Nothobranchius furzeri: one gene and its partners. The protein of the gene in region 2 interacts with the protein of the main gene of each other region in a biochemical or structural test. Links are inferred from orthologs where the notes say so. Each region holds a gene or a part of one and is shown on either strand. Other genes may lie near its edges. The genes, in order: irf1b, stub1, runx1, hsf1 and insrb.

What was found.
Region 1: of the proteins of stub1 (region 2) and irf1b, one has a biochemical effect on the other in vitro, tested with the Homo sapiens proteins (4 studies listed by BioGRID, with this or other methods). The link is inferred for Nothobranchius furzeri from reciprocal best matches to the Homo sapiens genes STUB1 and IRF1.
Region 3: the proteins of stub1 (region 2) and runx1 form a complex in vitro, tested with the Homo sapiens proteins (3 studies listed by BioGRID, with this or other methods). The link is inferred for Nothobranchius furzeri from reciprocal best matches to the Homo sapiens genes STUB1 and RUNX1.
Region 4: the proteins of stub1 (region 2) and hsf1 form a complex in vitro, tested with the Homo sapiens proteins (2 studies listed by BioGRID, with this or other methods). The link is inferred for Nothobranchius furzeri from reciprocal best matches to the Homo sapiens genes STUB1 and HSF1.
Region 5: the proteins of stub1 (region 2) and insrb form a complex in vitro, tested with the Homo sapiens proteins (2 studies listed by BioGRID, with this or other methods). The link is inferred for Nothobranchius furzeri from reciprocal best matches to the Homo sapiens genes STUB1 and INSR.

The regions. Positions count from the first base shown.
Region 1 is NC_091750.1:58,828,705-58,834,896, reverse strand, and holds irf1b (interferon regulatory factor 1b), read left to right. Parts: upstream 1-2,678; 5' UTR 2,679-2,815; exon of another isoform or gene 2,816-2,850; intron 2,851-3,399; 5' UTR 3,400-3,405; coding exon 3,406-3,492; intron 3,493-3,728; exon of another isoform or gene 3,729-3,893; coding exon 3,894-4,014; exon of another isoform or gene 4,015-4,115; coding exon 4,116-4,283; exon of another isoform or gene 4,284-4,361; intron 4,362-4,369; coding exon 4,370-4,410; intron 4,411-4,547; coding exon 4,548-4,683; intron 4,684-4,767; coding exon 4,768-4,887; intron 4,888-4,999; coding exon 5,000-5,028; intron 5,029-5,227; coding exon 5,228-5,342; intron 5,343-5,434; coding exon 5,435-5,526; 3' UTR 5,527-6,095; downstream 6,096-6,192. UniProt on the Homo sapiens protein: Transcriptional regulator which displays a remarkable functional diversity in the regulation of cellular responses.
Region 2 is NC_091756.1:32,258,341-32,264,640, reverse strand, and holds the start of stub1 (E3 ubiquitin-protein ligase CHIP), read left to right. Parts: upstream 1-2,134; 5' UTR 2,135-2,274; intron 2,275-2,941; 5' UTR 2,942-3,055; coding exon 3,056-3,169; intron 3,170-3,281; coding exon 3,282-3,480; intron 3,481-4,562; coding exon 4,563-4,728; intron 4,729-4,822; coding exon 4,823-4,898; intron 4,899-4,997; coding exon 4,998-5,054; intron 5,055-5,646; coding exon 5,647-5,763; intron 5,764-6,300. UniProt on the Homo sapiens protein: E3 ubiquitin-protein ligase which targets misfolded chaperone substrates towards proteasomal degradation.
Region 3 is NC_091743.1:80,942,702-80,948,995, reverse strand, and holds the start of runx1 (runt-related transcription factor 1), read left to right. Parts: upstream 1-1,343; 5' UTR 1,344-1,519; coding exon 1,520-1,607; intron 1,608-6,294.
Region 4 is NC_091759.1:9,320,400-9,326,812, reverse strand, and holds the start of hsf1 (heat shock factor protein 1), read left to right. Parts: upstream 1-2,376; 5' UTR 2,377-2,695; coding exon 2,696-2,827; intron 2,828-4,309; coding exon 4,310-4,418; intron 4,419-4,545; coding exon 4,546-4,682; intron 4,683-5,198; coding exon 5,199-5,323; intron 5,324-5,413; coding exon 5,414-5,489; intron 5,490-5,726; coding exon 5,727-5,788; intron 5,789-5,884; coding exon 5,885-5,963; intron 5,964-6,036; coding exon 6,037-6,155; intron 6,156-6,242; coding exon 6,243-6,413. UniProt on the Homo sapiens protein: Functions as a stress-inducible and DNA-binding transcription factor that plays a central role in the transcriptional activation of the heat shock response (HSR), leading to the expression of a large class of molecular chaperones, heat shock proteins (HSPs), that protect cells from cellular insult damage.
Region 5 is NC_091748.1:57,936,712-57,942,985, forward strand, and holds the start of insrb (insulin receptor b), read left to right. Parts: upstream 1-2,428; 5' UTR 2,429-2,658; coding exon 2,659-2,752; intron 2,753-6,274. UniProt on the Homo sapiens protein: Receptor tyrosine kinase which mediates the pleiotropic actions of insulin.

The DNA of each region.
Region 1 (6,192 bases), on a different chromosome or scaffold from region 2:
CAAACAACAATGGACCGACAAGACACTTCTTCTTCTTCTTCTGGTGTTTTATTGGCGGTTGGCAAACAACGAATGGTGCATTACCGCCACCGAAAAGACACTGAGACAAGACAGGGCTTAAATAAAATGGGGCATGATGGGAGGCAGATGAGCTGCAGGTGTGTGGGGAGAGGACCAGGTGATAGCAATACTTAATCAGGGAGGGAACTCACATGACCTTAGAAAAAAACTAAAAACAAGAAAAGCAACCACATAACTAATATTCTAAAGGGAAGGAGAACTACAAAGACTGGTGGGACAAAACATATAAGAGACTAATAAAATGAAAAGCTGAAACTATAAACACTGCAGAGGGATGACTGGCTGCAGAGGGGTGACTGGAGAAGACGAAAGGAACACAGGACCTGAGAGACATATTTGGAAGGCTGAAGACCAGGGGACAAATGAGGAACACAAAGAGACACATAAATGAGACACAGACAAAGGACACATGAGGGCGCTATGAAACACAAAAGGAGAACCTGGAGTGGGAACTGGAGGGGCTGGGGAACAAAGGGACACAGAACATGACACCCACCTGCAGCCCCTTCACCTGTACGAGGTCATGCATATCTGCACGGCTCATGTCTGAGGCCTCTGACCTGATCCAGTCGCTGTCACCGAGCTGTCAAAGCAGATGGATCCTAAAGCAGCTTTCCTCATGCCAAATCCTCAGTTTGCCGTTTTATCCTTTCAAGTGGCCTAAATATTCAGATTCACTGACACCTTGTGCTTGGAAAATGCATTAGCAAGGAATCTGTCAGTGTGATTAAAGCCCATTGATAAGAGGTGAAAACGAGCAAGGAAGATGCATAAATGATTACAGTTTGTATAAAATATGGTGTTTCATTTTAGGTATAAAGTGCATCAATAACCACTGACAAGTGAGACATTTCTTTTTGTGTGGAAATAAAAGGCAGGGATAATCACTGAATGAGATTTATTACATATAAGGTTTAATTTAGTACTAAAATCTATTAATAATGATAAAAAACATTGGTATTTTCTCATAAATTGCATTATTTTATACAATCTTCAGCATTTATAGGTTATTTTACCCTAAAAACCAAAAGTTTTATTGAACTGAAAATGCCACAGCTCCAGTGATTTCCCATGATCCGCACAGCATCAAGACAAGGAGGTTATAAACATCCTAAATTAGGAATGCTGTTCCTCACGGCTTCAAAAATCCTTTCTTCACTGGGAAATCCCACAGCCTGCTGCTGCCGGTGAAAACTCCACGCGAAAACTCCCTGCGCTTCCCTCCTCCTTGAGCAGACGCGCGCTGGAAACGTGCCACCCCCCCCCCCCACCCCCCCCCACCCCCCCCCACACACACACACACACACACACACACACACACACACACACACACACACACCACCACCACCACCACCACCACCACCACCACCGGGAAGCCCCTTAATCAACAGCAGGGTTGAATAGATGTGACAAGGCATTTATGGGGCTTCCCAAAGTCTCTCTCATACTCTAATTGTGTAAAATAATAATAATAATAATAGTAAAAATTCCTGTGGAATTTTCAAATCTTTATTCCCCTCCCTACCACATGCGAGTTGTGTCAGACACGCTTGGTGATGTGAGAAGCTTTGCTGAATAAGCCCGCATAACTATTTCCACATAACTCTGAGTGCAGGAGCTTGCGTTACCACTCTGCCCCTAGCGGCGAATAGAAATTACTACACCATTTCTTGTAAATGCCCCTGCTTCTCGAGCGCCGGCTGAAGGCTCGTATAGTGCACATGCCAGGCTGTCAGATGATCTTTGACACAGAGCGGGGGAATGTGCGCGCGTGTGACCTATTTATGCCCTTTGCAGGCATTCAAACTAGTCCTTTATCTGAAATGGTAGTTTTTTTGATGTTTCGTGCAAAAAATCCAATATTTAAACATTATTTTAGAAGATGATTTTTCTGAGTGTGTGTGTGTGTGTGTGCGCGCGCATGTGTGTATTTGAGTAAAAATAAATGTGCTATCTTTGACAATCCCAACAAAAATGTGGACTTTTGCAAAATTCAAATCATTTGCAATGAATTACATCAGCAGGTCTTCATGCTTTGGACTACGTGCCCACCGCTGTAATGAAGCCATTGCAGACAGTTGTAAACTTCCTCCTTGCTCTCAACTGCATGATTTCTCGGAAACGGCTCGGCTGCTGTATCCAAAAGACTGGTTTACGCATGCGCGTACTGCTGGAAAAAGTGTGAACAAAATAACTGTCAAGTATGTTGATTTTGCATCTTTAAGGTATATTTTCTTTATCTAAACAGAAGTAACCACGTGCACACGTAAGATTATAATATGTTTAAGTTTTTGCAATCGTCACTTCTGTTTAAATTCGTTTGTTTTAAGGGTAGATGAGTGATTTAAAGCTTTTCTTTATGCCTCTTGTTAGAATATGCAATCTCTTTAAAAATAGAAATCACCATATTTTAGTTAAACTAGTATGAAATAATTAGAAAATACTTCATATAAAAATACACCCACATGAATAAAAGCTGCAGGATCTTTCATTGTTTTAGTTTTTTTCATGCGGATATTTCTTCCAGCGTGCACACGCCTCCCTTCGGCTGTTCAAGGAAATACCCGCTGCTACTTATAAAAAGATGCCCATGCAGCAGTCAGCTCACTTCACCAAAGATATCCTGCAGGATAACTCACAAGAACGAGGAGAAACTTAACAACAGCAAACTCAAGCCGCTCGGATTATTCTCGCACACACCACTATCATCTTGGATTGCAGAGAAATAAACACCGTACGTGTTTTCATCTTTTTTACCGGACGCATTTGGTAACTTTTGAAACGCTTTCATTTTGTTTTGCCTTTTTATCATGTTGTTATTTTAGTTGTTTTCCAAATTTGCACGTTTTTCTCCCCGTTTTGGAACTTTTGTTGACTATGGGAATTTATAGGATAAAGATGCATGCCATACACTGAGCCGCGCTGGTGGAGGAGCGAGTTGTCATCTCGCACAGCTACAACCTTTTAAATCCTAGTTTATTTATTAACAGCATCATATTATTATTTTTAATAAACAGTGGGCTACTTTCGACAGTTTTTGTAGTGTTAAACATATTTTTCGGGCATTGAAGTGTGTGTGTTTTTATTTTTTTTTTGTAATTTTTGGTCCGTTGGAACCTCCTAACTCCTACGCGTAACCACCCCCACCGTGCGCGCCTTTCGCGTCCTGGTGAACTCCTCCTCACCCTTCCGCGCGGCCAGTAGGCAGCTATAAATCTAAGCACAGGCGGATGTGGGAGTGCTGTTGCTCACTGTACAGGATCAAGCACCCGATTCGTCACTTATCCCAATCTTTCCCTCGTTTGCTGCACGTTTTAGGTCAACATGCCAGTGCAAAGGATGAGGATGAGGCCATGGCTGGAGAAGATGATCGAGTCCAACTCCATCCCTGGACTGGCCTGGGTGGACAAGGTGAGTGTCTTGCAATGCTTTGTGTGATTCACTACCAATTTGGAGCACATGGAATAGCTTCCTGCTCTGCAAAGACTACATGAAGCATGCATTTTCCCTCACGTCACTTGTTTGCACGTTTCTGAAAGAGGAATAAAGTTAAAAAAACAACTTTTAGCAATAGTGAAAATGGAAATTTGGCATAAAAACACATTTAGTCCCCAAATGCTTAACATGCAAGTGATACATTCACTAAATGTGTAAAAGTTGCATGCTTTTATTCTTCCGCATCAGCAATGCATTTGATACGCAAATCATCAGGTTTGCATGATGGAGGGGGAAAAAAGCAGAATTATACCTTTGGATGAGTTAAACTTTGTTCTTGTATTTTAATTTCACAACAAATCCGTCTCCTAATCCAGCCTGTCTGCGGGGCATTTCAGGACAAGACAATGTTTTCCATTCCTTGGAAGCATGCAGCTCGACACGGTTGGGAATTAGACAAAGATGCCTGTCTGTTCCAAAAATGGGCCATTCACACAGGTGAGCAGGCAGGATCTGGCACGCCAACTCATTAAAGAAAAAAAAAACAGGTTATCAAGGAAAAAAAGTTAAAGCTTAACCGCTTTGCTTTTTGCTTTCAGGCAAATATGTGCACGGCCAGCCCATGGATCCCAAAACATGGAAAGCCAACTTCCGCTGTGCGATGAACTCCCTGCCTGATATTGAGGAGGTGAAAGACAGGAGCATCAATAAAGGCCACCAAGCCATGCGCGTCTTCAGAATGCTGCCTGCTACTCCCAAATGCAGAGGTGAGACACGGCAGCTAAACTCGGACTCCTTCTGCACTCTCAGAGCCAAGCTTTAACTCACCAGGTTTTTCCTTCTCCCTGCACAGACAAACGAAGCAAAGCGAGGGACACAAAGTCAAAAAAGAAGGTAAATATATTTCTATTGAAATGATGTCACCCTCTAGATAAAGACATGTAAATAGTGTCTACATGGGATTAGCTCACATTTTCTTACGTTTTGTTACGTAAAACTCGCTGATGAGGTTGTTTTTTTTTTTGCTTCAGCAGAGACAGAATGTCAATATGGAGGAAGACACAGACTACAGTGACACTCAGTCGCCACTGAACACATCCTTGTTTGAAGAAAACATCTCCACTCAGGAAAACAGAGTCGACAGCATGGTACAGATGGACCAGGAAGGTGAGCAAAACCAAAATGTTATTTGAAAGTCCTAAAAAAATATTTGAGTGACTTGATCTAAAATCTTCATCAATCCTGTTGCAGATTTCTCCTTCACGGCTCCGTCAGAGGTCCCTGATTGGTCGAATTCAGTCGAAATCTCGTTGGACGACCTACCAAGCAGCTTTCCTCACAGATTTGAGGTTTCCCCTGAACACAGCCCTGGTAAGATGACAGATTTAATCTCTGAATAAAGATGAAGAAATTGCCTAATACAGCAAACATTAGACTCATTTGCTTTTTCTTCTCTCCCTGTTTCTTTGCTGCGACCTTCCAGATTACGACTATCCTCAGGACATCATTGAGGTAAGCACAGCTCTCAGCTCCTATTTTTTTTAAACACATGCAGTTTTCATTGACATGAATACCCATGTTTGTCTTTTTTGGCCTGTTTGGCTTGTTTTAGAATAACTAAAATTATAAGGCTTAATTAAAAAAAAGCTACTTGATGTTGTGGAAAAACTCCAGTTGGACAAAAGTACTCAATCTGGTGTTGCTCTTACAGATTTGCCAGCAATTGGAGAAAGACTCACTGGGGATGTACAATGCAGGCAACATGGGATTCCTGAGCAATGAAGCATGCACGAGTCCAGGAAGCCAGTGGAGTGAGTCATCCTCAGGTAAATACCAGTCTAGATAGACGATTACCGTAGGTTAAAATTATTACTAAAATCCTGGTACTTGTTCTCACCTTTGGTCCTTGTGTTTGCAGGAGAAGAAGTAGATGACACACCCCAGTACACAACTCTGGGCACAGACTTCACATCACCCACAGATGTCTTCTGGAACAGCTTTTGCCAATAGATTCAGATTGAACTAACAGGACAGTGCTTTGACACTTTGGACTATTATGAAGCTCTGCTTGTCCACCCCACCTCCTAATCTGGGACCAAACCCCTTAAGTCAAGTCACAGTCTCTTTGGTCTCGACTCATTAAGCTAACTCCTTTTTCGTGGTTCCGTACGGAGCCACTCCCGTCTCTCGGCCACTATGTGAAGTTCTGAAGAACACTGTTTGTCGTCTTTGTTTTTGACTGGTTCAAAACAACGTTCATGTAAATTTTCTGTGTTGTAAAATTGTACAGTTTGTGGAGTTCTGACAGGGCATTGTATTATTAACTGTAACCAGTAATAAAGGTGAGGTTCGCCTACCTCGAGTGCACTTAGGCTGGCACTGATCACAAATGCCAGCTGCTCTAAGCATTTGTGAAGGAGTTGGTGTCAAATCAAAACATCGCATTTTTCCAATGTCTTCATGAATCCGTCAAAATACGGTGAACGCACTTCTTGATGTTTGCCCAAAACCCATCTCCAAGGTGTTTCTGTATATAGTTGTGTTTGTAGTTTTTTGTAATAAAAGGTAAAAATGAAGTCTGAAAACACGTTGGCTCGTTACTGATGCAACCAGATTATGAAATGAGGGATTTGCGCCAAAGGATTTACCTTACGTTTGCCAAAGTTTAGAAGTTTC
Region 2 (6,300 bases):
TCCAAGCGTATGTGCTGCTGTAACGAGTGATTTTCCCTACTGGGATTAATAAAGTCTATTCTGTTCTAATAAAAAGTTCCTCCAATGTTGCGGAACATAAACTTTCAGTCCACTATTTGAATTCTTCGATCCATACATTTTCAGGAAAGTGCAGCATCTTGTGTTTCTGATCACTAATGAAACACAAAACAATTGAACTAAACCAAATGAAAAACATGCCAGAGATGTGCAAGCATCCCAAAGAGTCCTCTGCTAAGGTGATAATTTGCATGAAACAATTTTCCCATCATCCTTAAAAGGACTGTTTATCCTAGCAGCTTAATATGTGTTTTATATTGCACCCACCCTATAGATGCCACAGAAGGCTTTAGCATTCCTCAGACTTACAGATTAGTTGAGCTGGTGGGTGTTCTGGAGGATCAACACACCAAGCTGGTGGAGATCGGTAAACACAGCTGGGGACACTCACTGCTGCTAGGTCTGCAGCTCAGTTGGACCCCCCCTCTTTAACACATCTATATGTGTGTTTGCTCTGGGGATGTGTCCTAATCTTCACACAGGCTGGGATGAAAGTGACCCTGTCCAAAATCATTGTCTTGCTAGTTTCTCTGTTGCTAAACTTGAAAGATCTTAGTTATAAAGGTCGTCTGTAGGTCTCCCTGTGGGTGGGATGTCTCTGAGATACTTTATGATAAAGTCTTGAACATTACCCAACCCCTCCCTGAAGATGTCATCCACGACTGAACAAAGTGATGACCTGTTTCTAACAGACTTCTACTACTTTGGCAAAGGGTTAGAGGTGCGTTTGTGAATATTAGGACCAATCTTAATATTTTGATTTAATTATTCAAAAGTTTACATCACTGAAGCCTCAAAAGATCTTGGCATCCATGAAATAAGTTAATAGAGACCTGTTGTCCTTCTCTGCTGTTGCAGGTCTCTACACAGTTAGACGTTTTCAATTTTGATGTTCAAGTAATTTTGCAGCACAGAGCGCCCTCTGCTGGTGAAGCTTCAGATCAAAGTAGGACAAGCCGTGATTAAAAAAAAAGTAATTTGTGTGTGTGTGTGTGTGTGTGTGTGTGTGTGTGTGTGTGTGTGTGTGTGTGTGTGTGTGTGTGTGTGTGTGTGTGTGTGTGTGTGTGTGTGTGTGTGTGTGCTTTGCTTTGCTTTATGGTATTATAAGATAATAAAAATTTTAATTTGACACACAGACTCTAATTTAAATAAAGTTTAAGTTAAACTTTGAAATCCACAAAGAGAATGTTGGCTTCGACTTAAATATGTAAACAAAACAAAAAAACAAGTCTACCAAAATAACAGCAGCAAACAAAGATCCTGGATATCATTTCATAACAAGAATATGTGAGTCTGTTTGATCATTCATCATTGATCAACATGCCAGGAGAATCCTGAAAGGAATGTTGATAAATGATCCACGTTTTAACAGATTTGTACAAAGTTGCCATCAAAGGGTATATGAATGTAATCCACATTTTATTTTGGTAGGATTATTGCATTTTCTGACACTCTGACATAGCATCCTACCTGAATATGAATTTGAAACCACTGCATTAGGATTTGTACATAACTATTTGATTTAATGCTAAATTAGTAAATAAAGATAATTAAAAAATATAAAAAGATGTTCAGTACAACAGTAGATGCACACGTTTTTTTACCTTTATTGTCAATTAATAGTTGACCTCAAAACCTATTATGTATGAATATGTAAAATGTGTTTTGGAATTACTAATACTTTTGAATAGCTTGAATCTATGTCTACATGTGATAAAAAATAATGACTAAATAACTCACATGCCATCTTAATAAATTTGTCTAAATGTTACGTATTAACACGTAAATGTACAAAAATAAATGATACTTAAAAATGGTGTTTAAATAGCTACAAAATAATAATTAAGACAATTATTTAATAAAATAAAGTATACTCAAAATACTAAACGTTATTTACTGCATTTCACAAACAAATGAAATTGTTGGTAAGTCTTTCTATACATAAAACATTTTTTGTTTTATTCTAAATGAAAGATTAGGAGGTAATAACTGATACATAGTTTCAGTTATTTGCTTTTTATTTCATCGCACTAATTGTGTCCTTTCGGCTTCCGTTGGAGTAACGTAAAAAAGCCCTTTACGTCAGCATAACAACAACTTGTCATGAGAGCTCGTACGGGGAAAATCAATACTTAAAGACTGTATATCAAAATAAATGAAGTCACAATCATCTGGATGTAAGATTTATCATTAAAGGTAAGAGTTGGAAACGGTAGGCTTTAACAACGAACTCAGTTTAAACCAGAAACAGGGGAGGCTTTGGGCTAACAGGCTAATTTTAGCATTAGCTAAAGATTTTTTTACTTATCGCTTAGCCGGGTCTTGGTGTACTATATTATTAACGACAGTGTCCGGCTGAGAATAGTTTGGGATCAAACGTGGCATTTATTGTTCATTTGATGAATTCAGTGAGTTTAACTAGAGCTGAATGAGCGGAATCCTTTAGCAACCCCCGGTGAAAACCGACCACGTAGCCTAGCTTACTAGGCATAGCAGCGATCTCTGGTCTCACTAAAGTTGTGAATTTTTTCGTCTGAGAACATTTTCTTCCACAGCAGCTAGCCTCCAACTGTTCCTGCGCAAGCGAGTGATCTGTTTGGAGGTGTCGGTCGTCACCTTTCGGCTACCTCTGGTGTAAAGTTACCCTGACTTAATACTCAAAGCGGTGCTCATTGCAGATTGCAGCCCACGCCGATGTCCGTCATATGAATAGTTAATTCAGTCTAGGCACCTAGCTGTGTTTTTCAGCGGCAGTGCGCGCAGTCAGCAAATCAAACCTTTTGGGTGGCATCGAGCAGCATTGCACCTAAAAGACGCGCATTGCAGCTGCAGTGCAGTAAACCCTGTGGTGTCTGCTCTGTAGAGCGCGATCCAGGACGGACTGGTCATTTTGAACTCTGACGTCTGGCCAGCCGAAGAGACGGGGAACAGGATTGGGAAGCAGGGCGAGGCGGGCCCCGCGGAGCCGGTGGAGAAGATGGCCGGCAGCCCGGAGAAGAGTTCCACCGCGCAGGAGTTGAAGGAGCAGGGGAACAGGCTGTTCCTCTGCCGCAAGTACCAGGAGGCTGCAACCTGCTACAGCAAAGCTATTGTGAGTGGCACTAAGGATGTCTGAGTCTTAAGTCATCTAAGCTGGAAGAATACAAATGTTTCTGATTACAGATAATTCATTAACACACTTTCTGGTTTATTTTGTCCCACAGAACCGTAATCCATCAGTGGCTGTATACTACACCAACAGGGCCCTCTGCCATGTAAAGCTGCAGCAGTATGACAAGGCTCTGGCTGACTGCAAGCATGCTCTGGAGCTGGACAGCCAGTCCGTTAAGGCACACTTCTTCCTGGGTCAGTGTCACCTGGAGCTGGAGAACTACGACGAGGCTATTGGAAACCTGCAGAAAGGTTTGAGGAAGTCCTTAAAGAGGATGTAAACATGGCTGAGTTTTGCGTCATTTGGGGGGAAAAGTTCGTCTCACAAGTTCCTTCATTTTTCTTTCATAATTCCTTTTAGATTGAAGTTTTTGTATTGTCATCCTTTTATGTAGTTGTTTTCTCGTCCCCATTGTCTTCAGCAATCTTTAAAAGTTCTATTCCATGTCTACATCAATGTTGTGTAGATAAATTAATGACTTGTTGTGTAACATTTCAGAAAAGTCCGTTTTTTTCACAGTTCAACATGACCCTTAAATGTTGTAATACAATCTCCAGTAATTTCTGCCTATTTTAAATACCAGAAAGCTGATGTTTAAGTGCTGCTGGCTGACAGACTCACACTGTTCAGTCCGTGTGTTTTACTCATTTATATCTTTGAATGTTGCTGACAAGTCTCCAGACAAGTTCTTCAAACAAGCAGATCACACAGAGCATTAAACCCAATGTGCAACAGTTATTTGTTTTTTTTTACTAAAGCAGCGGAGTCCAATCCTGGTTCTGGAGTGCCGGTATCCAGCACGTTTTAGCTGTGTCCCTGCTCCAACACACTTAATCAGCAGCTCATCAAGGTCTTCAGAAGCCTGTTAATCACCTGCTGAGTGAAATCAGATGTGTTGGAGCAGGGAAACAACTAAAACATGCTGGATACCGGCTGACTTCAAAACTCATGGATAAGTCTAAAACCATAACACAACACGAGGGTCAGATTTATGCTTTCTATTATAAATGTATAGTTTACAGGCCAAACCAGAGCAATCAGAGGCTGGTTACCTGGTGGGTGCTGATGGACTGAGTCAGTGTCTCCAGTCTGCGTCATAATGATAGAGAAAGCTTGGTCATGTGTAGCTGCAGGTGCAAAATCTCTATCTTCTAACTACAACCTAACCTACCATTTCAGAGCGTTGGGAAATTGTTAAGCAGCCACAGCACCAGCTCTTCTGCAGCAGCATGGAATTGATAGAAAATTGATTTAAAGACTGTTTAGATGTTCTTTTTGACCGTTTTCCAAACTTCCAAGTTTTAACTAATGTGACTTATTTATTTGTTTATAGCGTATAACCTGGCAAAAGAGCAGAGGCTGAACTTTGGAGACGACATCCCCAGTGCGTTACGCATCGCCAAGAAAAAACGTTGGAACAGCATCGAGGAGAAGCGCATCAACCAGGAGAACGAGCTGCACGCCTACCTGACCAAACTCATCCTGGCTGAGAAGGAGAGGTCAGATGGGATTTTTCTGAAATACATTCTGGCACGCTGTGCTCCAGGTGGTTTAGATTTAGTGATATAACGTGGCGTTTACTATTTTTCATAGAGAACTTGAAGAATACAGAGAAAAACAGGATGACAATCAAAGCGGAGGAGATGCAGCAAAGATTTCATCAAAACACGTTGGGTTTTGCCCTGATTTTCACACTTTTTACTGACCAAAATATGCGTTGATGTTAATTTTGGGACATTTTCATTACATGTAAACGTGACCTGCTAAGGACAAGTATTTAATGGACATGGACGAGCTGTTCTCCCAAGTGGACGAGAAAAGAAAAGTGAGTTGACAAGTTGTTAATTTTTTGTTGTTTATTTCATTTAATTCATATTTAAATACTTTAAATAATCTAACAGAGAAACAGTGTGTGTCTCCCCCCCCCCCCTCCCCCATTTTTGTAGTTGGCATAAGAGCAGCAAATATACTTGATTCTTCAGATCTGACTTGAGATCTGTTTTATTTAAGTCTATCTTTTGCGGTTATTTTATTTTTATACAACCTCAGTAACTTCACTGACAGATGAGATCGCATGAAATAAGATGGTTGTTTTAATTTTAGCGCAAGCTGTTTCTATGACGACTGTTACTTGCTGTTTGCCAAGTTTCTTGCCAGAGCTGGTTGTTTATATTGAGGTTGTAGTCGTATAAGGGAGGATGGAACTGGCCTTGAAATTAGAATAAGATGTATCAATCTGTTATGTGTTTGCTTAATATCGTATTAGGATGATCGTTGAGGCTTTTTAGGAGGAAGTGACATCAGTGTGGTTGCTAAGCAGCAGCTTGTTGATGACCTGGACCCTGTTAGACCAGAATAAATCATCTAATTGTATAGAAACCCTGATTGTTTAGAGTTTCCTCTTTTCCTGATTCCAGAAGCGAGAGATTCCAGATTATCTTTGTGGGAAAATCAGTTTTGAGTTGATGAGGGAGCCCTGCATCACACCCAGCGGGATCACTTATGACCGCAAGGACATAGAAGAGCATCTACAGGTAAACAGTTTCAGGTCTGCTGGTAGTTGGTGACTTGTTTTATTTGATTGTTTTTTTTTTTATCTATGTGTATGTTGTTGACTGTTTTATTTGTTTTAGCAACATCAACCTGCCAGAGGACTGCAAGTGGAAATTAGTCTTAAAATCTGGCATATTTACTGTTCATAAGTATGCATTGTCCTCCTTTAAATAAATAATGAATGAATGAATGAATAGAACAGCTTGTTAAAATGTGTGGACTGAACTGCGAGCAGGTTTACAGCATTGGTCACCATGGTGACAGACTCAGGTGACAGGTTAATTGTAATTTCCAACAGCATCTGAAGTTTTCTTCCTCAAGCCGCTAAAGCCAGGGTCACACTGGGCCGCCACCGCGACGTGAAGTGCTGATCCTGTGGTAGGACAGGCTTCTGTCCACAAGTCTAGACATGATCAGATCAGTAGCGGTGGGTTATGTATCACAGTACAGCAGCGACCATATGATATGTTATGATACAAAACAGCCTGAAGACCAGAGGCTTCCAGTGTTATCACGAG
Region 3 (6,294 bases), on a different chromosome or scaffold from region 2:
CTAAGAAATCACAATGTAACCATAGAAACACTACTTTGTGTGTGTGTGTGTGTGTGTGTGTGTGTGTGTGTGTGTGTGTGTGTGTGTGTGTGTGTGTGTGTGTGTGTGTGTGTGTGTGTGTGTGTGCGTGCGTGTGTGTGTGTGTGTCTGCTCTGTCTTCTCAATCCCCAGTGAGTCGTGGTGGATGGCTGCTTTTACTGAGCCAGGATCCTCTGGAGGTTTCTTCCTGTTAAAAAGGAGTTTTCCTCTCCACTGTCACTGCATGATTGCTTAGTATGAGGATTGCTGTAAAGACTCTGACACGATGCAACCTGCTGGGTTCCTTATAAAGGAAACTTTTTACTGATTGGCTTAATGAACTGACCTGTATTGGAATGTTTACTATGTGAAGTGCCTTGAGACGACTCTTGTCGGGCTTTGGCGCTTTGTAAATAAAATCAAATTTAATTGAAAACTTTAATTAGTGTTGTGCGCTCTAACCTCTGAACTGTCTAAACTTCATTGCATTTTACTGACAAATTTAATCAATCAAACTTCGTACTGGTCTTACAGCTTGCATATCAAATACGAAGTTTTAAGTTGGAAAATTTCTAGTACATTGATACTCTATAGTTTTTATTATTTTTGCTCTATATTAGATGCATTTGTTGAATTTTTTATGTTTACATTTTATTCACATCATTTTCTTTATTCTTCCTAACAAACTAAATCTAATTTTAAGAGTGTTGATGTGCTAATACATTGAATAAATAAGGAAAAAAAGAAAACTCTAACAAATTAAGAAAACAATTTACAGATTAGACAATTAAACAAACAAATAAACCAACTTTCTGAGACTAAATTGTTGACAAGTTGTGCACCCTTCCTTGTTCTTTTGTCTCAAGTTAAACTTGAATAAAATGTCAACAGAGAAGCTGAGACCAGAGGTGTAATTTAAGCAGGGGTACACTAAAGACAAACCCATCCAAATCAAGCTTTTTTTGTTGATGTTTTGTTTTATTGTAATGTCAAAATAGTTTGAAATAAAGATAGTGACAGAAAAGAAGTGAGGCTAAGAGAAAAAATGGAGAAAATCATTTGAGTAGCTAAATTAAATTAGCAGGTTTAAAGAGCCTGAGGGCAAAGTGGAGCTCCGTCCCCTGTGGCTACGCTTTAGAGAAGGGAGGCATGAATTAAGCTTGACTGGCTCTTTCCCTCCTCCCCTTCCTCGCACTTTATACTCCACGGTCTTTCTGGTTTTTACTAATATGAGGGGTGAGGTAAAAGGACACAAAACGAGTGGGTGAGGAGATGAGAGGGAGGGTATAAAAGCAGGTTGTGAAGGTGAGGACCAGCTGAAACGAATCTGTTCGCTTTTGCAGCTTTGTTACTAATCAATTTTTTTCCTGGAATTTTAGAAGATAAAACGTTTTTTTTTTTAATAATTGTTCAGTTAATGCCTTTGCTGTTTATTTTTGTTTGCTAGTTGTTGTTCGTGGTGTTGGGAGGTCACGGCTGTGTCTGCACCCAGGATTCCACTATGAACCCTGGGGTTTTCACCAGTACTGGCCCCCTGTCCTGGGCCGTGTACCTGATGAGGAAAGGGCAGACGGGCACCGGACTCTTCGGTAAAGCTTGCTTTTTTTTTTTTTTGCACCTTCTAGTCTTTACCATCACACATCACGTTTTTAACTAAATCAAATACTCAATGAAAAGCATGTCATATTCCACTTGTTGGTATTTTGTCTGATCTCGAGTTTCACATCACAGATATCTGGTAGTTTAAAGGTCTGCCCAGATGCGGGTTTATCCAGTAGTTGGGTGTATAAGCAAAAGTAAGAGCATTGCTGGTGTTTTGTTGTCCTTGGTAGAGTTTTATGGGTCATAGTGTTTTCTCAGGGCTGTCATGGGTGATCGCTTATCATGATGGATTCAGTTAGCATGGGTATTGCATAAGCCTGTTACTGGTTCCTAAAAACCAGTGGTTCCAATGGTCCATGTATTAAATGCATCATGTATTGTGTGCGATTACCTCTACGATGGTTGTCCTATCATTAAATTAAACTTACAATCTCTTGACGCATTTTGTTTCAGACTATCCTGGGGGCAGGATCATCCATCCATCCATCTGTCTGTCCATTTATCCATCCATCCATCCATCCATCATCTACATCTTACAGATTTGGGGTATCAAACTAGTTGTGTGTCAGGCTGGATCCGAAACCTTTAGAGGTGCCACATGCTCTGTTATTTCCACTCAAAGCAGCTGTTTTAGTAAACATTTGAACATTTTCAATATGATGCTCCATGTGTGCTCACACCCTACAACCAGTGTCAGAAACTGTCTCTGGGCATGCGTATTGAGACCTAGCTGTAGCGGTAGGCCTCCAAGCATCTTGTTTTTGTGCTAAGTGCTTTTTCTAGGGTTTTTCTGCCAAAGCAGATCCAACAAAACACCAGGGAATACGTTTGTCCTGAACCAGTGCAAACATTCCCTTTGATATGAAACGTTTTATTTGTTAAAGAGCAGTCTGTAAATACTTGTGAAAGGGACATATCATGCAGAAGTCCCATTTGGCTTCCATGTAGGTCTCTGCTGACTCTATGGCTGTTTTTACAGGACCAGAGCGTTTGTAAAACGGGATTTGCCGCGGCTCCCTGAGGAGGATACAGGTCGTTTATAAGATCAGACCATGGCGGTAATGTGGCGCAATCGTGGCAATTTTATAAAAGATTAGATGATGGCAGCATAAAGGGTGTATGGAGCGGTCCGCACACTTCCGTTTATCTTGGACATAACTTGCTTTTTATTGCGATTGAAGCCGTGATCGTTACTTTTTTTTAACAAGCAGCTCCCAAAGGTGTCTGTCCCCATCAGTCCCTGTGCAGTCTCTGGTGATCTGAGCTTCAGCTCTAACAGAGAGGCTCATGGAGCGCTGCGGCGCTCCAGTTTGCCATCTCAGCTGATTTTGTTCAAAAAGCAAACCTTATTGCCTGGGTTTACTTTCATTTTCAATAAATTTGCCAGCCGGAACTCAGCAGTAACTCCCCACGTCATCATGACACCTGCCTCTGTTGCGCCAGGGCGCATACGACAGACCATTACCGCAGTATTACTACCAAGCGAGGCGGAATGAATGCCGCAAAATTCGCGCAACGCCATGCCGGCATGTCTGTCTTATGAAAAAGGCTTATAAAATATAATAAATTTACACCACCACCACCACCCCTTACCTCACTGGTCCACACTTAGGGAGGCTTCCATTCTGGGCAAGGTGGAACAGCGGCTCTTCTTGAAGCCCCTCCCGTATATCAGAGCTCCTCACTTCATAGCAGCCATTCATGGATGGGTGGGCGTGGCCAGCAATCACTTATTTGCATTAATGTGACAGAGCTCTGACATGATTAATTATGGGAGTTACTGTAATTGTCATGAATAAAGCTATTTTATTTGAGATCAAGGACTAAAATATTGGCCAAGGATGCTTTCCGCAATTTTTGAATGATTAAGAGACGTAAATGCCAAACCAGCTTGGATGTCTTCCATGTTACCAAGTTAGAACCCCACCCCTTATCAAGCGATGAAAATGCTGTTGAACTTCTGCTAGGACCGTTCCTACCTGCACCATCACAGAGAACATTACGCTAAGTTGGTACCTAAAGATCCAATAGATATTTAGCTGTATGATAAAGCTCACAAGCCATAGCGCTCAATACCCATAAAGCAAGAGGAATCTTAAGGAATTTAAGGTCAACAACGTGTAGAAATTTTGACTTTGGAACTAAAATAAAAGAGTTTTGAAAAAAAGATCTTGAAGAAAAATGTCACACTTTGTGTCCAAGGTTGTAGCGGAAGTGGTTGACGTCTGAAAATCCTACCAGTGGCAAAACAAAGACAACAGAGAGTCTATTCATGACAGCATCAGAGCAAGCCCTTAGCTGAAGAGCAACAGCAGATAGGACCATGGAGACAATTCAGAGATGACCCTGAGACAGTCCAGCAGATAATAGCAGGATGTAAGATGTAGGCAATGGGACACCATAACCGAGTGGCTAGAACAGTGTAAAGGAAAATCTGAGTCTAATCTGGGTTAAAGGTTCTATAGTCAGAGTGGGATTCTCCACCATGAGTGGATCCAGTCTGACAAACAGGCAATGGCTAACCAAGTGGAAATCATGGTGGTCTACAATCTGCAGAATAAGTGGCGGTGAAAGATTCGGAGAACCCAAGTGACTAGAACATCGGGGTAAAAGACATGAGAAGATGCAGAAACACCAAAGGATGAGAGAAGAACTAGAGGTTGTGGAGCGTTAGGACCTGAGTAGGACCAGAGGTCATTAGAGCACTTAGAGTTGTGACCACCCAAACTAGCACCTGTGGAACTCTCAAGTTTTACCCGACACAAATGCATTACGTGATCTGTAAGCGGCGCCGTCACTCCACCCACACACATCACACACTGTGGGTGGGGCACCAGGTGCCCACCCTCACTCGAACACCTTTAGTGACAAAGCGGATTGCCACCCTTGTCCCACAGTCGTTGATGGGATGAGCCACAAAATTAAATTAAGGGCACCATGTGACCAGTCTGTGGGCCAGTGGCGGTGATGCTGAACATTCAGCTCAGTCGGATGGGTTTTGACAGACTCTGAACCCAGAAACAGCAGCAGGCAGAACCAATCACTCAGCTCCCTAGCCAATCAGTGACTGTTGGGAAATGCAATCCAACTGAACCAAACCCATCCGAGTAAAGCTGAGTGTTGCTGCTGGAAAGGTGCATTTAGAAGGTCCCTCAAGCTCTCAGGCCTGCGGTGAAGGACTCTTGTGGAAGAAGTTCATCTATTGATGTAAATCCTGATTGATATCTGGAGGATCATTGGAGAGGAGGAGGATGAAAGCTCAGGTTACAGGTCAGTCTGTGGGAAATGCTGGATGAGTGAAACCTAACTCTTCTCCTTGTTCCTTTCTCATCACAAGTCTGTTTCTTTACCTACATGATTATGTAGCTCGCAGCGTCTGTTCTGTTTAGATCTGTGAGGAAGTCAGAAAGGATGAGATGAACAACAGAGGAATATATCAGAATAACATTCTGTCACTTTTTCTTTTCTTTACTGGTTAGAAAATAATCACAGATTTTCTGCAGATAACCAAGAAAAGTGTAGATTCTGGTGACGAGGAACCGAACGATTTCCAAAAGGATATGTCCAACTCAAGTCACGATGAGAGATGAGGTGTTTACATTTTAAACCCCCCCCCCCCCCCCCCCCCCCACACACACACACACACACACACTTGGCTATGAGGAGCTAGAAGCAGAGGCAAAGTGGCCTTTAACTAAATGTCCTCTGACAGCATTTGGATGTGACATAAATTACTGTTAAAATTCATTTTTAAAAATAGCTTTTTCTGATTCCATCCAGATGTTTTACTAGCTCTGTGATTCACACTGTTCTAGTCTGTTTTCAAACCAGTATGAGTCACTCTTGTTTTTATTTTTCTGCATTTTGGTTCAACACTTTCATGAAGTTTAAATGCGTAACAGAAATTTTGTGACTGTATATTTTGCTTCCTCTTGGACTCCCTTGAAAATGATTTTTAATCTCAAAAAGACCTTCCTGTTAAATGAAGAATAAATAAATACAATAAAATAAATAAGCAGGTTCTAAACAGTGTGATGGGGAGATTTGTAAATAACAAGATATAGGGAGGCTAAGTCTCCTCCCTTTCCGGGTGGCTCATGGGTCCCCGGAAGAACGAAAAAATGAATGTGAGTCAACGGGGCTAAAAACGCTGTGGCTACACTGTAGCTCATCGGTGTAAAGCGCTTTGGAGTCCTCTTAATCTGAAAGGCGCTATGGAAGTGCGGGCCATTTCTCATCATTTAACTGATTAGCACGGAGTTGAAGTGTAATAAACACCTGGAGCATCCTAAATCTTTTATGATTTAAATAAATTATTTAAATTGTTTGTTAACTGATGTTAGAATAATGTAATTTAAAAACTATAGAAACAACTTATTTAGCTCTTTGACTTTCAGAAGTTCCTTGAATTAGATCCCTTACTGCCCTCTACTGTTTATATGATGTAATGTGTGTGTGTGTGTGTGTGTGTGTGTGTGTGTGTGTGTGTGTGTGTGTGTGTGTGTGTGTGTGTGTGTGTGTGTGTGTGTGTGTGTGTGTGTGTGTGTGTGTGTGCGTGTGTGATTGAGCGAGAGAGCGAGAGAGAGAGAGAGAGAGCGAGAGAGAGAGAGAGCGAGAGAGAGAGAGAGAGAGAGAGAGAGAGAGAGAGAGAGAGAGAGAGAGAGAGAGAGAGAG
Region 4 (6,413 bases), on a different chromosome or scaffold from region 2:
GAATGGAGTTATTAAATTACAATGGCTAAAAAAAATTTTAATTAAGAAAAATTCTATCTGGTTCTGTATTCCTTCATTTCTGTTTGAGAAGATTGGAGGTATGGATTTTCTGTTAAAATGTGATTTCGATCCTCTTAAATTACCCATCAAACTTTCTAACTATATTAAACAAGTGTTGATGTACTGGAAAATGATCTACTCGCATAACTTTAGCCCACATTCCTCCTCTATATGGAATAACAGATTTGTTCTGTATAAACGGAAATCGATGTATTATAAAAGTTGGATGGATAAATGAGTTTGGGCGATATTGCAGCTGATGGACAGTAAGGGTAAGTTTCTGGAGCATACTGTGTTCAAAATTAAGTATAATATAGACTGTTCTGTAACGGAATACTCTAGAGTTATAAAGGCTATTTCTCCAGCTGTTGGCCAGATGGTCAGTCAAAGTATTCAACGTGGAACAAGTACACCTAAGCTTCCTAAATTATCTATAGGTGATTTGAGTTTTACAGACCGTAAATGTAATAACTCTTACCTAAGAGCAGTCTTGTCAGACAAGTTTTTCCCTATTCCTGTCAGAAGGAAAATTCTTTCTCCGATTCTCTCAATTAAAGATACCAAAGTCATAAGAACAGAGTTTCTTTCTTATACTCTTCTCCCCAAAATGAAGGAAGTTCACTTTAAAACGATTAATAATATATATCCATGTAAAGAATTTTTAAATATCAGATTTAATATACAAGATAATTTATGTGTCTTATGTAATAGTGAAATTGAAACTCAGAAACACCTTTTCTATGATTGCAAATCGGTAAATACATTTTGGTCAGATTTATACAATTGGCTTTTATTCAAAACCAGTTACAATATCCCCTTATTCACATATAGTACTATTCAATTTGGGTGTATAGAAAAAAATAATCAGATTCAATTCGTTGTTAACAATTTGATCATTTTTTGGAATTTTTTTTTCCACAAATGCCGTTTTATGAAAGTGAAGCCAAACTTTCCTTTTTTCCAAAACAATTTTATTATATTTTGCAAATCTCTTAAAAAGGTAAAGACTATACAGGCTGTTACACTTGTCGGATTTAGTGAAGATCCTGTGAACTAAGGTCCTCTGTCTTTGAATATGTATTATTATTATTATTATTATTATTATTATTGTTGTTGTATTATTATTAGTAGTATTAATATTAATATAATATTTATTATAATTTTTTATTGTGTCTTGTTAATCTTATAAATCCGGTTGTTTCTGCTGATTAGAATATTTCTAATGGTCTAGTTAAAAGGTTTTTGGTTTATCTACTGAGTTGTTCTTTCTTTTTTGTTGTTGTTGAGTTTTGGTTGTTGTTACAATATAATGTGATTGATGTTCACAAAAAAAAACTACCCACTTAAATTCTTAACAAATATTTTGTGTAAATACCCAAAAGCCTGTGAGAGATAAATTCCTAATTATATACGCGTTTATGTTTCTGTCCTGTGCCATATTTGACCACAGAAAACATTTTCTTTAATTTGCACAAAAAGAAAACCTTAATCTTGAAATTGGTCAACTAATGACATAACATATCAACAACACTACTGTTTGAAAACAAACAAGCCCAACAACTGTATTGTCAGACTGACCAAAAACAACATTTCTGTATGATTGCAATGAAGTTTATGATGTGAATTAAAAGCAAAAGTTAACAAATGTCGATCAAAATCAATTTATATAACATAACAATGTTGTAAAACAACAATAAAACATCAGACTGCAACAATAATTTTTACTTTAAACAGATTATCATTAGGTTCTTAAAAATGACTGAATGTGTTGATTAAATCGAATTTGTGAGTGTCTCCATCCATGTGCAAACATAAAGATAACGTGTCACCAAAAATTGGTTCTGTTTCGTTCCCTCCTGACTGCCAGTGGCAGTAAACAGAGTGGATGTCCTCGCGCTCTGCGCAGGTCGAGTAACTTCCGTTAAATGGGCTCGTAAAAGGTAATATTTAATTGCAAATAAATGGTTTACGGCATAAATGTATGGCAACATCTGGTGTGAAAATACCACAGGTTCAAGATCAGGCCCCTGAAAATTAACAAAATTTCAAAACAGGCACTCATCTAGAATTTACAACCACGAGGGCAGAGTTCAATGCCTTGCCCAAGGACACTTAAATTTGAAATGAAAACACCTGGGATTAAAACATCAACCTATCGCTAAGAAAAATGACATGTCATGCAAAATAAAACACAAAGTTTATATTTATTTTAAATGTGTATTTCTCTGCTTTTGACCCTGCCATTTCCATTCCAAATTAAAAACAATCCAGATATAGCTTTACGTCACACCGCGACCGAACGTTCACTTTACGTTATGTCATGACGCTGCGAAAGAGCGACAGCCATTCAGCCAGCTACGCAGTTGTTTGTATTATCGGATTTGTTGGAATTTTCCACTACGGAGTTTGTTTAGAGTAAAGTTAGAACATTGGTCTGTGGACTAGCCGACACTAATACCACTCCAGATCGGGGTTAACTTTTCGAGATGCTCCACGAACCCTAATCTGGTTTAGTGTCGTAGTTTATTCGCTTTTTTGTGTCTGTTAGGAGTTGATGGGGTTAACAGTAGGCTAACCGACTTAGCATTGACATTAGCTTCAGGAGTTTAGTGTACGTTTATCGTCTTTTATTGTAATGGAATATCTCGGAGGGGGTGGAGTGACCGGAGGAGTGGTGGTGAGCGGCGGAAACGTGCCAGCCTTCTTAACGAAGCTGTGGACCCTGGTAGAAGACCCGGAGACCGACCCTCTTATCTGCTGGAGCCCGGTACTCATGTTAGGCTAGCCTAGCAGAGCTAACTGCTAATTACTCGCAGAGCACTTGAGACGTTATTCTTATCAGAGCGAAGACTCCAGGGAGAATGTTTTTAAAAAGCGAGTAAATACATTAGTTTTTTTTGTTAGTTTGTAATATTGATAAAATGTAATATCACAAGTTAGCTGTAACAGCTGCAGGTGGATTTCTGACGGGCTAACATTAGAACTGTCTGGCGCTCTGGATTTAGCCATCAGGTCCTCAGAGAGTTACTCGTGTTCGGCTGGTGTTATAAATTTGACGTATACTGGGGACCAGGTGTTGACCTGCTGTTGGTTATGTCAGTGAAAATGAGCAACCAAGTTAATTTACTTACATAGACCTCATGTTACCTACTCAAGGCCTATTTTTATGTTTGACTTGTAAAACCTGATACAAGTTTTCTAAGAACTCTAATGTGGATTCATATACAACAGTTTTTACGTTAACAGTCAAACCATACCGTAAACATGGTATTGTTGTTGTTTTTTTGCAGAAGTTTTTAATTCCTCAGTAATACATTTTCAATTTATATTGTTGCTAGTTGAGTTAACTGACTGGGTTTCTAAAATCCTCTACAAATGCTCATCCAGCTTAAAGATCACATTAGAATCATAGTTTCTGTCTAATAAACTTGCTGAAATGTATATCTATTGAAATTGTGATTATTTGCCCGAGTTTGGAAACGCTTTGCTTTTATTTCTTCTCTTTAGCTGAAATCACTGCTGTGGCTCATCAAAATAAGAGCTTCAAGTAACAAAAACACACAAAGCACCTCTCAGCAAGGCACACTATACTATATTATAAAATGTTCATTTTACTAAAGCCTTCTGTCTTACTACTATAATATATATTTTTAATTATTACTTTCAGAAATGTATACGTTGGTCACCAAAAGTCTTGTCAAGGCTCAAAAGCCTTCAAATATCCAGAGTTCACAGTTTAAGAAGACAAAATATTTTTTACTTTGATTAAAAATAAAATCACTATAGACAAAATTAAAGGGCATAAAGTCTGAGCTATTGAGGATAAGATTCAGACATAAGTTTAAACATGTAGAAACCAACTAATTATCAAACACGTTTGTTTTATGAAAAATGGGACAGATGCAAAAGCAGAGAAGAACTGCAATATTTCCCAAATAAAACTGAATAAAACATCAATTTGCAAAAAGCTTTGCAGGAATATTTCCCTACTGATTCTAATTCACACAACAATAGTTGAGTTTAGATCACCGTGGCAACAGTCTGCAGTCAACGGTGTAAGCTGATCTGCAGACAGCTGCAGTTCCTCTCTCCACCGTGCCGACATGGTAAAAAGTTTATTCACAATTTACGGGTGTTAAAATGTCAAAATCTAGTATTTTTTCTTGTAAAATTCTGTTTACTGAATCTTAAATTGTTTGTTATTATTGCTCTATTGACACGACTGATTGCTCTGTGTTCTGTATATCAGAGTGGAACCAGCTTCCATGTGTTTGATCAGGCTCGCTTCTCTAAAGAGGTTCTACCAAAGTTCTTCAAACACAACAACATGGCAAGCTTCATCCGACAGCTCAATATGTGTGAGTATCAGCTGTCATCAACCAACTAAACCAGCTCTAGTTGAGCGGTCTCTTATTATAGTTTCAGGACTAATCAGGAACATTTATTTAACCAGCTGCTGCTTTGTTCTATTCTGCTGATGTCCAGATGGTTTCCGTAAGGTGGTGCACATTGAGCAGGGTGGTTTGCTGAAACCCGAGAGAGACGACACAGAGTTCCAGCACCCGTTCTTCATCAGAGGACAAGAACACCTGCTGGAGAACATCAAAAGAAAAGTCACAAATGTATGGTAACGCAGAAGCACTCAGATCAAACGTCTGGTGCTTTTTGACAGATTAGTTCTTTCAAAGTAATCTAGAGGTAAAGTCTTGTCTAGGTGCTAAAAATCTGATTGACTTGGTTAAATGTTAATAAGAAAAAATCAAAAGGATTTTGACAACATTAATTATCAATAATTAATATTTTAGAGAGAAACTTAATTACAAATAAATCCATTCAAGATCATCTCCATCCTAACCAGAAGCACAGACTGTTTAATGTACAGATAAACTCCCCGCAAATCCCAAAAAACTACCTCTCAATGACACTGAAGTTGGATTTAATTTTACATTTTTCTTGTTTTCTGTATTGAAATCTTTCTAAAATAATCACAGAGTCCTGTAATAAATCTTTGGAGCAGCTGTCTATAACGCTATGAGCTCTGACTGTCTTGCTTTTCCCTACGTTTGTGAACACGTGCAGTTAGAATGGACACATCTGATATATTTGGTAATGGTTCCTCCTTTCTGTATCCGGTGCAGGTCGCATCGGTCCGTCAAGAGGAAGTGAAAATTTCTACAGACGAGGTCAACAAAATCTTAAACGACGTCCATCTGATGAAGGGAAAACAGGAAACCATCGACTCCAGGATCCTCTCCATGAAACAGTAGGAAGCTGAACTAACAAAAGAAAAGTTTAAGTGGAGGAGATTTTTCCTGTAATATTAACATTCACCTTATTTTTCTATCTGTTTTAGTGAGAACGAGGCTTTGTGGAGGGAAGTGGCCAGCCTGAGACAAAAACACGTGCAGCAGCAGAAAGTTGTCAACAAGGTACAAAAGCATCCACCCAGACAGACGTAGCACAAACTGGTCCTGCTGTTGGATCAAAGCTGTAAAAAAATCATTTGTGTTTGTGCACAAGAGAAGATGCTGCTGCTCGCTGAACGAGCAAAATAAATCTGTACATCTGTGAATGTAAAAAAACGTCTTTAAACTAAATATATTAACCTGCTGTTAGCGTTAGCGTAGCTGCTAACTCAGCTAAATATAAGCTTTGTCTTTTTGCAGTTGATCCAGTTTCTGGTGTCTCTTGTCCAGACCAACAGGATCATGGGAGTCAAACGGAAGATGCAAGTTTATTCCTAACTCTGCAGATGTGACACACTTTAGTGCTGCTTAACCCTAGTCATCAGTGTATTTTCATGTTTTTCTTTTCTTTGCCGTAGTCCTCTGATGCTTAATGATTCCAGTTCTACACACTCCATGCCCAAATACAGCCGACCTTTCACCTTGGAGCACATTCAGGTAGAATGGATGATGCTACTCTCAACTTCAGCCGTGAGTGTTTCAGACACAAACGCCTGTTCTGTGTCTCCAGAATGCAGCCGGTCTCCTCTCAGCTGACTCTCCGCTGAACTCTGGGCCTGTCATCTCTGACATCACAGAGGTCGCCACGTCCACCCCAGAAGAAGCAGTTGCTGATTGGACGGATCTTGAGTGAGAACCAGTCAGATCAGCCACCTTGAATGGTTGCTTAAGGCAAAAGGTGGGCTATAATGTTCTAACTCTGTCTGATGCCTGCAGAGAGAACCAGTCAGCCTTTATCAAAGAGGAACCATCTAGTCCTGAGGTGGAGGAATCTCCTGCTCTGGAGGTGTCTCCTATTCTGGAGGTGGAACAGGACACGCTTTCATCCAATGCAGACACGCCTTTGTCCCCCACTGCCTTCATCAACTCCATCCTCCAGGACAGCGA
Region 5 (6,274 bases), on a different chromosome or scaffold from region 2:
CAACAAATGTACTTTCACTTCAGGGCATGAAATAGAAAATATATTTTTACTTGTTATTTCCTGGATAAGAAAACAGCAAAATAAATAAATAAATAAATAAATAAATAAATAAAATGCAATTGTCATTGAAAATATTTGTCCACTAAACTAAAGAAGTCTTTTGATATGTGATGAATAATTCACTTTTAACCATTTTACTAAACTGTTTCCGAAATATTTGAGATGCTGTGGGGAGTATAGACAACAAACAGAGCAGTACCTAATTTTTCAATCGTTTCCTCTACAAATTTATTTAGATGTTTTTCATCGTCATTCGTGTGTTGTTGTGTGATCATTAACATGCCTCTTATAATAACAGAACGTTTGAGAGAGAAGCAAGAAGACCCCAAGAAAAGTGAATTACAGAAAATTAAATTGTCAAATGCCTAACATAACATTATATTAAAAAGAAAGTCACCCACAGATCAACTTTTTTTTCCTGATAAACTAGATAAATATGTGTCTAATCGTGCTGCAGACACGTGTAGTCAATAATTTTGCACTTTAGTGCGTTTTAGGTTAAATTTAAAATTTCTGCCTAAAACTGTCAGTACTGTGCTGTTGTCAGGTAAAAACTCTGCACTGCAGTTGAATTTAAATCTGCCATCGCTAATGGCTAAGAGGCACCCTTAGCTGGTACGATATGATGTCACAGCGTCGTTGTGAGTCTCTGTGTGTGTATTTGTTAGCGGCTCCGCCCTCTCTGTCTGCTAGGCAACAGCATTTGTTGCATTTTTCAAACAGGAAGTGGGAGTGGAGTAATACTCTGGTAGGAGGTGACTTGCTCTTTAATATATCAAAAAGGTCAGTAGCAGCAGTCATAAAACAGACATAATTCTGCTGCAGATCTCACTCTGAAATACCTCAGAAGCGATTTTCAAAGATGTTTCATTGCTGTTTCCACAAATGCAACTTATTGTGACACAAACATGGTCCAGAAACAGAGATCTCTTGGATAAACTGAGGCAAGGTGTTAAACCATTTATTGCCTGATAAATCCAAATTTCCAACTCAGATTCTTTTCCAACAGGTTTTTAAATAACATTCGACTAGTTGTCAGCGCACAGTTCAAAGGTAATCAGTTTTAATGACGTGGGGATACATTGGTGCAACATATTGGTGGAACTTGAACAATTAGAATATGGTGCAAAAGTCAAGTTTATTTCAGTAATCCATCTTAGACTGAGAGACCACCTAAAGGCTCAGGTACCCTTTGCAGGTGGTTTGGATTCATTACCTGATTAGAGACCTTGAGTGTAGAATATTGAAACTTCACAATGTTCCAATCGTCTGAGATTTAGAATGAGGAGTTTTCTTGAGCTGTGAGCCATAATCATCACATTTACAACAAAGAAAGGCTTAAGATATCTGGATTTGCATGAAATCAGTCTGTCTCATACATTACTGTCACCTTTTAAGTTGAATTTCCAAACAACCCTCTAGTTTTAGTGTTTAAGATTAAATGGTAATGCTTCATTTTGACACAATAAATAGCTGGACTCGTATTTGCCTGGTCTGTTATCCATGCTGCCGGAGCCGCTCCGGATCCGGTTCCCGGTGCAGCAGGAGCAGGCGGCCGTGTGTTCCGGGTTTTCCCGCAGACCGAGTGTGGCCCAGCTGAGGTGACTGGCAGGACTTGTTTACTGCTGGAGAGACTCGCAGAAAGAGAGAAGGAACGGGGGAACCTGGGGGAGAGAGCCGTCTCTATCGAAACGCTACGGGAATACAAGTTTTTAACACTTGACCCACCTTTTTAAGTTCTTTTTTACCTCATCTTTTTATTTCACTATACGGGATACTCACTTTGTGAGCGTGTTTTTATTATTTTAACTCCGATGCTGAAACCTGGTTTGTTTTGGATTAGCCTGCTAGCGTTAGCTGTTTCCCCCCAACAGCTAATCTGAGAAAAGCGACGGGCGGCAGCATGCGTGGAGAGTTCTCCACTTAACGGATACGTGCGGGTTCAACACGGATGTTATTTGATATTTCCCCCCTCTCTTTGTGCATCTGGGGAAAAGGGTACCGTTCAACCCCCGAAGTTGGTTCCCCTTCTCCTGTTCGGTTCTGATGCGTTAGTGGCGTGGTGGTCAGCGGGGGTGAACGGGGTTCAGAGGAAGGTCGGTGTGTCGGAGGAAAGCTGCACGTTTTTCCTGCCGCAGAGTTTCCTGGGATGTAATTCTCTCATCGGTCTTAAAAAGGAGGGAGCGAGAACTTCACGAAGGAGCGATCCAGTTGATCCGCAACTTTCAGCTCGTGTCTGCGGGAGGAGCAGAAGACTCGAGCATCTGTGCAAAAACAAAACAAGTCAAAGCTAAGTGGACCTTACAACTGGACCTCCAGGCTGTTTTCTCTCGACTTAAACGGAACTTCAGACAGAGGAACATGGACTGTCACCTTCACTTGTGGAAAATGGTTTTTACACGCACTTGTGTGACCAGAACCCAAGATCACATTATTTAGTGGCCTGGATTTAATTTTGTTTATTATTATTATTTTTGGAAAAGGCATTTTAATCCAATTGGACTTTCATTATTTCTTGCCTTTTTTAATATCCACCCAGAAATAAAACATTTTAACTCAACGTTGGAGTTTCTGAAAGAGGAGCACACAAAGTCCAAAATGAGGCGGTTAACGCCAAAACTGCGGTCGCAAATGGTGTTTTTTATCATCTGCACCTGCATTATATGCCATTGTGGACTAATAACTGGAGAAAGTAAGTTTCCCATTTAATTTTATTTTAAATGTGGCTCTGTTGCTCGTCTTCTGCACCTTTCTGCCTTATTTTGAAACGCTCAATTTTAGTTTATCATGATTATTTGCATGTTTACAAACAAAATGAGCAAAGCATAAGACGCTATTGTGTCATTTACATGTTACGATTTAGTTTTAAAGTGTGTTATTTTATTAGAATAAGCAACGAGGTCCTTCTAGAAACCTGATTGAATTCCCGATTATTTGTTGTTTTCGTGTCACGAGACTCGCCTACGTTTTGGCGCATGCTCAGACATGCGCAGCTTTAATTGTGAGGCTAGTAATTTCAGCTGTTGTAATTGATAATCCTGTGAGGTTACGGTGGAGCGTCTCCCCGCCCTCGTGCACAGTCTCGTGTGTATTTTAGCGGCCTGCGCTCGGTGCGCCAGCCGGAGGGCAGGATGCTGGACCGGGGTGGTCCGTGGCAGTGAGCCCGAACTGGGGCAGCAGGATCGGCCTTGTGTGAGTCCAGAGAGGCCTCTCCTGGCCACGCACACTCATGCACGCGCGGTGCGCTGCAGCAGCCAGGGTGTAAACAAATTATCCCCCGACGCTAAAAAGCCTCCTCACAGGCGGCGGATGAGTCCAGGCTGCTCTGTAGCACCAGATCGGGCTAAAGCAAAGAGGTCGTCCTCTCCAGACGTCTGCAGCTTTCATCAGTGGATAGATATAGCCGACTTGTAAACAGCTCAGCTGCGTTTGCAGATCGAGGAGATTAATCCCGCTCTGTCTGAACAACACCAGCGGAATAACGATCACAAGCGACAGCTTTGTTTACACCAGGCTTTTGTTTAGGTTTCATGAAATCTGAACTTAAGTTGACAGAGGAAAGTTATATTTCCAATTTACCACAATTTAATGTTTTGCTACCCAGGACTCGGACCTTTTTGATAAACAAATTAAAGTTTTTCTCAAGGCACATGCAATTTTTTTTCTTTTTACAGTTGGTTCTTATTATTTCATTCAGAATATTTGGTAAACTGAAGAGGTGAGCAGTTTAGCAAAAAATAACACTTTTCCCATCTCTTTAGAAAGATGATGCATCTGTGCTGCTGTTTTAATTTTTCAATCGATAGTTTAAAAAATTCAAAGACACAACATTGATTGGTGTTTATTTGCTGTAGTTTTTTTTAGGTCAACACGACTTATTTTGACCCCCACTCAAATTCTAAATTTCTACACGATCTGCTGTCATGACATGTCAAATGAGAGCAGCAACCCAGGTCTCAGAAAAATTGAAAGATCTTCAGAAAGTGTAGAAAACTGTTAAAAATATCTTCAAAAATACAAGGTTTGTCTCCTTGAAAGCTAATAAGAGGTGACTAAAACCAGTACCAGGAGAATTGTAATCACACTGGAAATCTGTAGGAAACTGTTAAAAAGTAACCTTCACAAGTCAATGTCATGTATACATTTTACATTTTAAATAAGGTGTTATCGTTGTTGTAATTTACAATAATCTGATCGATGTAGGACGAGAGGAAACCTTTCTCAGTTTACGCATCTTGAATAAATCAGACTTGTTAAAACTGAATTACAGTTAGGGCTGCTCGATTATGGCAAAAATAATAATCACGATTATGGTGACTGAAATTGAGATCACGATTATTTAGGACGGTTTTTCAATTTATGTTGATTTCATTTGTTTTTATTCAGTCATAAAACTGCTCAGGGCACAATCAGGACAAAAATAAATAAGAAACAAGATGATCACTAAAATAACTCCCGATTCCCAGTATAAAAAGACCAATATACTTATAGCTCATAGTCTATGACCCAAGGGCTATAGACCTTGGTTTAACTCATTTAAGTCTAACCAGTACAGACCCAAATACCAATATCTTGCAAATACTGACAGCAAGAATTATACAGTGGCATTTATAACAAATAAATGCAAATAAATTGATGTTCACAAAATATTGCATAATACGTATTTAGTCGTGTCACGGTGCTGTAGGAGAGTGCACTAGCACCGGGTCCTCAGAGAGATGAGTTATTATTTATCAGCGTGAGGAACTTATTTCTACCTTATTTATAAACTATTTATTTACAAGTCCATCAGTTAATGTAATAATTGTCCCAACCACAGCTGCACCCCCCCACCCCCCAACCCGGTCTCACAGCAATCGGGGCAAGCTGCATGTGTGTTTAGCGCGCCGCACACGCACATTTAGCCGTTTTTAGTGGCTCAGGAGTCCGCAGGTGCGATGTGTGTGTCACTCACTCTGGCTAATCCAACAAGGAGCCGGCTCCGAGAGCCGTTTCTTTAGCGACTGACACATCACTACATCATTCCCTTTCCTAATGTCCTGAAGAACGGTCTGGAGCGCAGGCGGAGTGTTTAGCTAACCTGCATGAAATGTCGACGACAGTTATCCAGAAAGTAGCTAAGGGTTACCAGAGATGTTTCTGAAGGTGTTCGCTAGGTACTTTTAAGTTAAAAAGTCAAGAATGGGGTCTGAAAAGCTGCTAGAAATAGCGCCAAAGTCACTAAGTTGGCAACACTGTGGGAGGAGCGCTTCATTTGCAACTCAGGGCAGCGCAAGCGGGAGGAGCAAATAATCGGCTTGTTTTGTTTTTTATAATCGTTCAAAACTCAGATCGTAATCGTGATTAAAATTCGATTAATTGAGCAGCCCTAATTACAGTTTCTATATAAACGAATGCTCTTTTTGCTTGTCAGTGACTGGTGTAACCTTTAGCCCACATGTCTCCTTGTGAGATTTGTTTTCAGTGCTGTGGATGTTGTGTTGCACAAGTCTGTGAAGTGTTTCAGCGCATGATCTCATTTCAGAGCGAGTGAGCAGGTAGACAAGTCTGAAGTGACCCAACATGATAAATCACCTTTAAGGAAACCCCTGATGCCCCGTTTGCCTGCTCTGGTCTTTAATTTACTTTTGGGGGTGGGGGAGCATTTCTCAAAAGTTGCTCCCAGTGTGGGTTAAGAGGAAATGATCTGGCTACTTTACACAGGTCATATATGCAGACAGAAAAGAGGCCCCTGAAAGGGGCAGAGCTGTTGGTTGCTCTCCTCCTTTTCCTTTTTTCTCCCTCTTTTTTTCCTTTCTCCTACTCCATCGCTCCCTCTCTCAGGGAATGTGGTTCATGTCATTGGCTGTTCATGAGTACTCTGGGAAGTGACCATATTTGGAACTTAGGAGATGTTTGCAGCAAACGTGGGGGTGGGGAAAACGACCAAAATATTTAAAATATGTCATTCTGTATCCACAAGTTGTACTGATATGCTCCACGGCAGGCATGATCTGCTGACGGGCCTCCAGAAACCCCAGTAAAGTGTCTCTCATGTGTTGTTATGGAGCCTGGACTGCTATCTTAGTCATTGTTATCGGTGCATAGTTTTCTGAAGCAACTGCTGAGCTGTCTCTTGGTCTAAAATTCTGAAAAACATGTTGTGCAACTGGGGGACCCCCCCCCCCCCCACACACACACACACCACCTCTGTTCACCAAAGCTTGTGTGCACA